Ovis aries: one gene and its partner. The protein of the gene in region 2 interacts with the protein of the main gene of each other region in a pairwise test. Links are inferred from orthologs where the notes say so. Each region holds a gene or a part of one and is shown on either strand. Other genes may lie near its edges.

Region 1 (3,643 bases), on a different chromosome or scaffold from region 2:
GGGATCGTCTGCGCTCCCCTGTTCCACCCACTGTTGAGTTCAGGATCTCATAGTTTCAAAGCTCTAGGCCAAGGGCCAGTGACAAAGCTATTCCCCACCCCCACCCCCACGCCCCACACGGCCCGATCAGAGCTACCCGACCCCTCGTCCGGCACTGAGCACCCACCGGAGCTGGAGATGGAGCTGGCGGTGCTGGAGGAGGGGCAGGTGTCGAGGGGTGCGGGCGAGGTGGAGGCACTGCTGCCCGCCGGGCCCGTGTTGGTGGCCTCATCAGCCCTGCGGCGGAAAAAGCCGTGCTGCAGCGCCCCCAGCGGGCTGATGCGGGCGGCGGGCTCATACTCCAGCATGCGCAGCACCAGGTCCTGGAAGCGGAGGTAGTCGGCGGGGCTGTGGCCCGGCTCCCCCGCCCGCCGGCCCCCGGGCCCGCCCGTCTGCACGCCCAGCACCTCCTGCAGCCGCCGTGTCCCGGGGCCCTGGTAATCCTGGCAGGGGGAGGTGGGAGGGGGGGCAAGAGAGTGGCCGTCAGTGGGCAGGAGGGGCAGGGAGACACACACGGGGAAACAGAGGCACGAGAGAGAAAGTGGAAAGAGAGAAGCTAAGAAGAGCTGTGCGGTGGGTAGGAGGCGAGAGGGGGTGGGCGGGGGAGGAAGGAAAGGACAGACAGGGAAAGACACAGGGAGAGGAAGCGGGGAGACGGAGGAGGGAGCCCCAAGTGTGAGAGAGTGAGGGGCCGCCGGGGTAGGAGGAGCGGCATGGGGGCAGGGGCCGCACCTTCCTGAGTTCCTTTGTCCTTCGTAGGGTCCAGCCGCCCCCAGGCAGCCGCTCAAAGTACTTTCGAGCCTTGGGCGCCTGGTCCAGCATGGGGGCTGGCGGGATGCCCAGCACCTCCACGATCCGGTTCATCTGGTCCACCTGAGAGCAGGCGGGCCGTCAGGGTCACTGGGCCGGCCGGGCCTCCTCCCCCTCCTCGGGAGCACACCCCCTCCTCGGGAGCACACCTCATTGGAGCCACTGAAGAGGGGCTCTCCAGTGTGCATCTCCACCAGGATGCAGCCCAGGGACCACATGTCAATGGCCAGGTCGTAGGGAGTGCCCAGGAGCACCTCGGGCGAACGGTAGAAACGGCTCTGGATGTACTGGTAGATCTGGAGGAGGGGAGAGGGCAACCATCAGAGGTCCCAGCCTCTGCTATGAGAACAGCCCCAAAGTTAGGAGGGCCGACTGAGGTCAAGCCTCCTGCCCCCAACACTTGGGACAGGGGGCGCCAAACCCTCATGTTATCAGCACCAGCTTCCTGGAATCACCACCACTATCGTACTCATCGGCTTCAGGGCTCTCTGCTGGCCTAGTCTGGTCCTGAGCCCCTCTAAGTCACCACGGGCTGGCAGCCGGCAAACCTAGGCCCTTCCCACCCTCCCAAACTAGACCCTTTTCAAGCCACTACCAGCATCATCTTAGCAGCAAAGTTGAAGAGCCTCGCCCCTTCCATCCCCAGCTTTAAGAGCACAGGGTAAGCAAAACTTTGCAAAGCGCCACAGCCTTTCAGGCTCACAGCCACCCAACTACCCCTCTGCCCCACCCCCTCTCCAATCTGGCAGTCTCAAAACTGGCCCTGTTCCCTCAGGCTCCGCTCTCCCTTCTCCTTTGGGCAGTAAACCCGGTGGCCCTCCCTCTTGGCCCCATCCCAAGCACCGTAGCTCAGGTATCAGGCTGCACGTGACAAGGCTATCCCCGCCTGGCCTCGCCCCGCGGACCCAGGCCGCCAGTCGGCCCCGCCCACAGCCGAGCCACACCCAAACCGAGCCCTGCCCCCGGGGCCGGGCCGCACCCGCTGGCCGAGCTGGCAGGAGCTGCCGAAGTCCACGATCTTGATGGCGCTGCGCTTGGGGTTGCAGAGCAGGATGTTCTCGGGCTTGAGGTCGCAGTGAATGATGCTGAGCTCGGGCGTGGCCAGGAAGAGCAGCGCCGTGCAGAGCTGCTGCGCCAGCTTCCGCGTCAGGTTGAGGGAGACGCCGCGGAAGTGCGTGTTGCGCAGGAGGTCGTACAGGTTGTAGGAGAGCAGCTCGAACACCAGGCACAGGTGGTTCCGGAACATGAAGTGCCGCTTCAGGTGCACTGCCGGGAAGGGGGCGGGAACGGGCCGAGCAAGAAGAAACTGAGGCTCTGCGAGGGCCAGCGGCCCACAGTCACAGAGAGAGGCTGGCATTGGATCTGTGTCTGCTTCTCGAGCATAGACCAAACTGGAGTGTGCTCTGCGTGCGGGGTGCATGCGTGCTAAGTCGCTTCAGTCGTGTCCCACTCTTTGCGACCCTGTGGACTATAGCCCACCAGGCTCCTCCGACCATGGGATTCTCTATTAATGAGAACGTTTTCCTATGTCCACAATTTCATTTACAGGAAGTTAACCTCTTTACAAATCTGTCAGACTTTGTGATTAAACCAAAGATAAAGTTTCTATTTGGTGCTGATGGGTTTTTAACACCGTCCTACACTTCATTTCATTTTACAACACTTTTTAGTCTCAGTTCTGTTTATTTTTGTGACAAGGGGAAATCGCTGTCCATTTACCGTAAAGATGTGTATCTTCCCTTTAAAAGAAACACACTCCTTCAATCTACTTGATTTTTCTAAGAGGAATCAGTACAGCAAAGAGGACAAAGGTGCTCACAGAGTAAAGGCTCTGGAGGTCACTGCCTGGTCAAGTGATAGCACTGCTGAGTGCAAACGTCGTGACCTGCTGCAAGTGATGGCACCTGACTGCCTCTGTTTTTTCATTTCCAGACTGTGGGTAATCTGTGATGACGGTTCAACAGTTAATAATGTGTGTAAAGTTCTTACAATAGCACCTGACCCCTTAGGGAGCTGGTCAATAAACTGACCAGCATTCTCATGTGAACAGGATACTGTGAAAGTGGCAAGCCTGCCCTGAAGACCCCAGCCCCTGGCCGAACCGAGGTGGGGGGGGGGGGGGCCCATCCCGAGCAGCCCTGCCCCAGGCCTCACCTATGTAGTACTTCATCTCTGTGTCGTGCTGGTTCATCAGCTCCAGCAGCCGCAGCTCAATCTGGGCCTGGTTCAGGAAGGCTTTTTTGTTCTTGATGATCTTAATGGCCACCAGCTCCTGGGTCTGATGGTCATAGGCCTTCACCACCTGTGATCACCGGCCGGTCACAAAGTGAGGGAATGGGGGCACAGGGAACAGAGCCAAGGACTACCCCTCTCTCCAGCAAGGACACCCACCGGTATCGCCATCTGTAATACTACTCATTCAAAACTGGAGTCACCCACAGTCAGACACTAGTGTAAACATGGGACACAGCCTTATGTGGGGAGTCCTGTTGTTTGCACTATTTTATAGAAAAGGAAACTGAGGCACAAGTAATCAACTGACTGCGCTGGGACAAGGCCCAGCACGGAGCTCGAAGCCACCGAACCCACTGGCTGTGTGGGTCAATACCAGGGGGCGCCCGTACCTCCCAACCCCTAGATCAGGGTCGGGTGAGGGGCATCCCGCACCTGGCCAAAGGAGCCTTTGCCAATGAGCGAGTCAATCTCATAGCGCTCCAGCCAGCGCTCGCCGCTGCGCACGATGTAGTCGTGGTTGTCATCGTCATAACCGTGGTTCAGGACCTTTTTCTCCTTC
Region 2 (4,266 bases):
AATCTTGCAGGAAGTGGCAGAGAGAGGATACAAACGGGGACTACCTCCTCTGACACAAGTGCAACCGGGCAAACCTCTGGCCTATGAAGAAGGTCTCTTCCTCCTCCTGATCTGGCCTTCCTGCCACAGCCCTCCCGAGCTTTCTCTCGGTTTGCTCCCTACAAGCAGGCTCCCAGCTAACGTTCTCTCTCCATGGCCAGACACACTCACCAGGCTCCACAGAGGTCTCCGGAAGGGATCCTGAGGGCTGGCTCACTGAAGTCCTGAGGACAAGGACAGTGGCAAGCAGTCACTGAGCACCACATATGAGCTGGGCACCATGCAAAGTGCTTTACAAACATCTAATTCTCACAACAACTTCAAATGATGATACAAACATTGTCCTCATTTGACAGACTAAAGAAACTAAAGCTTGGCAGGTACGGCAAGCTTGAACAACTTGTAAGTGCTGAGAGTCAGGAATCAAACCCAAACCCCATTTGTTCCCACAATCTAAGCTCGAGCCACTACACAAGGGATGGTACCTCTCATTTCTTTCCCCTTCCATCCCTCACAACCTGAAGAAACTGATGCCATATTGAGGCTGAACTTTACTGCAAGGGTTCACCCTGGGCATTCACAGATTTTCCCCTCTCCCCGCCCCCAGGCTGGTGGGAAGTCCTAAAGCTACCAGAGGGCCCAGCCCTGAGGGACCCCTGTACAGACACTGAAGCACTCTTTTCCAAATGACCCCCTCCTTACTTGCTGCTGCCACTGGTCTCTCTTCTTAGTTCCTGGAAACAGGGAGGAGCGGAGGGGTGAGAGGATGATCCTGAAGGTGGAATCTGAGCCACACAGGAGCAAGAGAAAAAGGAGAGTCAGAAGCAGGCTCCAAACCTTCAGGTTTCACCACCAACCCCATCAGCCTCCATACAACCCCTCTGCTTACCAGGCGGTACCCTCCATCCCAAGGCCCAGCTGTGTCCTTAGAAGGAGTCCCCAGGAGCACCTAGTATCAGCCCCTCAAGAACACTCACCAGAGCCTGCAACCTCTGGGGACACAAGGTCCGACCTCTAGGCCCTGGTCCCTCCAGCCTTGAGAAGCAGGAAGCCCTGACAGGGTCCAGTCGATGGGTAGGGGTTCTGGGGGCCAAATATGCAGAGGCCCGGGCATCCTGGGACCCCAAAAAAGACTCTCAGTACAGACTCAGGATTCCCTCCTCAGCCTACCCCAGCCTGATCTCCTCCTATCCCGGCTCATTACCTGACCCCTCCGGATGGTGCCTCCCTGGCTCCCTCGAACAAGTACTCTCTGAGCCAGACTGGGCTGGCGCCCCAGGCGACAGCTCTTCACCCCCTCACCTGACAGGATGGTGGCCAGGGCTGCAGGGTCAGCCACAAACTCTACGGTCCCTGGAGCCTCTGCAAGGGAAGAAGAAAAGGAAAGGCGAGGAGGGACAGGAAGGAGGGGAGGCTGAGGGGTTGGGGAGCCTAGCATTGTCACCTTGAGGTGCATGAGCCAAAGAGACTCATATAACTGAACTCAGCTCAACAAACATTCACAGGACTTTAATCTGCATAAGACACTATTCTAGACACTGCCACCCAGAGATGAATACGACAAAGCCCCCATCCTCAGGAAGCTAACATCAAACTAGAGCAAGGTAACAGATTCAAGTCAAAGTATGGACATATTATAAAAGAAGTGCAGGGAATTCCCGGGCGGTACACTGATTAGGACTTGGTGCTTTCACTGCCTTGGCCCAGGTTCAATCCTTGGTCCAGAAACCAAGATCCCATAAATTGCATCTAATAAATGAATGCATTAATTAATGGATAAATGAATGAATAAACAAACAAGTAAATAAAGTTCAGCAAATCATTAGAACAAAGAGCAATTGATAGTGACTAGAGGAGCCAGAAAAGGCTTTAGAAGTGATGACACATTGCTGAAGAAAAGAAAGGGCCTCTAACAGCAAAGAGCTTTCTAGGAGCAGGGACTAGGAATTATAGTAAGCAGGAGAGGCAGGATTACAAAGCCCCCAAACCCCACTGCACCAACCCATTCTCCCACCCAGTTCTACAGCCTCCAATAGATACCTGTCTGGGGAGGTGGCCTAGGGCCCACATTTTGATCCCCATGGCTAGGCCTGAGCTCCTCCAAGGGGTTCCGGAGCTGAGTGCTCCCCAGCAATTTCTCAGATTGCTCTGTCTGACGTGTGGCTTTCAGCCTGGGGCCTGCTGAGTCTGCGAGGGGGCGCTGAATATTGAGCTTCTGCCCCAATCTCTAGGATAGGGGAGAAAAAAGCTGAGCTCAGCGTTGAGGTGCATTGCTGCTTCCTTGTAGCTACTGTCTTCACTCCCCCAGGCTCCTCTTACCTTTGGATCTTGGTTCTCCTGGTCCAGGGCGCTGGGTTTGACTGTGGGGAGAGGTGGGCGTCTCTGAGAGCGAATGGGAATCTTGCTAGGAGTGGGAGATACACCCCGGAGGAGAGGATCCTTCGTGGCTTGGAGGGTGGTCATGACGACTACTCCTGAAAAGGAGAAAAAAGGATCAGGGATCAAAGGTCAGCCAGTTCGAGGTTTCGGTCCTGACATTCCAGATACTCCTACCTCCGCCCAAATCCACGCGCCAGAAGACCCGCCGCCTACAAGGGCGCTTCTCGGTCATCTCCTGACACTATGAGCCTACACTTTCGTCCCGGGACCCCGAACTGCCTCTCTTCCCTACGAGCCCCGGCAGCCCTCATTCCCTCCAAGATCTCCGTGCCGCACCTCCCCCTGAACCCCTCAGGGTCTCGCCCACTTTCTTCGCTTTTTCCCGGGACTCTCTCGGCCTCTGCTCCAGGTACTTCCCCAGTTTGTAAAATACGCCAAGCTCCTGATTGGCTCGTCTGCGCTCCCGCGGAGGCGCGTGACGCAGGATTCAGCTATCCAATCTACAGGCTTCGGAGGCGGGGCCAAAAGAAGGACTAGTTGCCGAGCCGCTTTCTGGCCAGGAAAAAAAAATGACCCGACTCAACCAGCCAATCGGAAAGCCGAGCGCGGGGTGGAAGAGGAAAGAGGAGACAGTTCTGAGGTCCAGGAAGGCGTCTGCTCTGAGTCTGGGCAACAACGGGCGCTGGCGAACTCTCGCGAGGTCTCGGGACTGGTGCGGGAAGGTCCAGTCGGCCTTGTGGAAGGGCTTGCGTCCTGAGTGAGGCAAGCTGACGGTGTTGGAGGCTGGCCCCAGCCCCTGACTCAGCTCTGATCAGAGTTAGGCCGTCAAGTTTTGGGGACCCTGTCCAGACGCTTTGTGGGAAAAGTCTGCCTGGGTCGAGGAGCTGCCTCCAAACGGGCGGAGAGGTCTGGAGAAAATTGAACTAACAATAACAAAAATGAAAGGTTACAGTGAAAAAGAGAAAAAAGTTTTCCTTTTTCTCTTGTCCTTTTCTGAGTTCTTTTTTTTTTTACTCTAACTTCCGGATCTGTAGTCGGTAATCAAGGCTAACTTGATATGTAAGCTACATTCTATATGTATCTCCTTTAAACTCTAAATGAGCTACATTGTGTACCTGTAGCTTCTGTTAGTTACATTCTAACTCAATGCTAATCACATCCTGTGTTTAGTGCTCACCTTTACAGCAGTCTTTGCAGAGCCCCCCTTGTAGTTCTCTCTCTCTCTCCTTTTTTCTTATACTACAGAAAGGAGGCCACAGTACAATTCATGAAAGACAATGGACCCAACTGCTGGGCTACCTTACACCGTGGAGAAGGAAATGGCAACCTACTGCAATATTCCTGCCTGGATAATTCCATGGACAGAGGAGGCTCGTGGGCTACAGTCCTTTGGGTCACTAAGAGTCGCATAGGACTTAGTGACTAAACAACAACAGCCTGACTCCAGTCTGTTACTGTTTTTGAAACAATGCAAGAGGAAAAAAAAGACAAGATCCTTACACATTTGTTCCACATTGTTGTAGCCACGTGTTCCAGGAAACAAACTCACTCAGAAGGACAATGCAGATAGTGGAGTGCCGTTAATTACACCGGCGGGCCCAAGGCAGAGTCTCCTCTTAGCCAAGGACACCGACCAGCATTTGTGAAAATCTTTTATACCCCATGTGTACGTATCTGAACCCATCACCCAAATTCCTTGAGACTTACGTAAACTAAAGAAAATACAATCCCAATAACCCCATGATTCACGTGCTATGTGCTCATGTGCTCAAACAGTCAATTAGCCAATAATCAATAAACCTCAGGTTACACTCCGATAGATACAGAAAAATTTATGGCCTGTCTGGA

Evidence for each region. The genes of interacting proteins can lie anywhere in the genome.
Region 1: the proteins of TROAP (region 2) and DYRK1B interact in binary tests that used the Homo sapiens proteins (3 or more experiments, as listed by UniProt). The link is inferred for Ovis aries from reciprocal best matches to the Homo sapiens genes TROAP and DYRK1B.

Annotation. Positions count from the first base shown.
Region 1 is NC_056067.1:48,786,264-48,789,906, forward strand, and holds part of DYRK1B (dual specificity tyrosine-phosphorylation-regulated kinase 1B), read right to left. Parts: coding exon 3,517-3,643; intron 3,152-3,516; coding exon 3,004-3,151; intron 2,116-3,003; coding exon 1,829-2,115; intron 1,146-1,828; coding exon 999-1,145; intron 913-998; coding exon 772-912; intron 483-771; coding exon 167-482; intron 1-166.
Region 2 is NC_056056.1:136,911,970-136,916,235, forward strand, and holds the start of TROAP (tastin), read right to left. Parts: upstream 2,852-4,266; 5' UTR 2,651-2,851; coding exon 2,593-2,650; intron 2,514-2,592; coding exon 2,359-2,513; intron 2,267-2,358; coding exon 2,080-2,266; intron 1,402-2,079; coding exon 1,244-1,401; intron 1,155-1,243; coding exon 1,017-1,154; intron 825-1,016; coding exon 742-824; intron 264-741; coding exon 211-263; intron 1-210. UniProt on the Homo sapiens protein: Could be involved with bystin and trophinin in a cell adhesion molecule complex that mediates an initial attachment of the blastocyst to uterine epithelial cells at the time of the embryo implantation.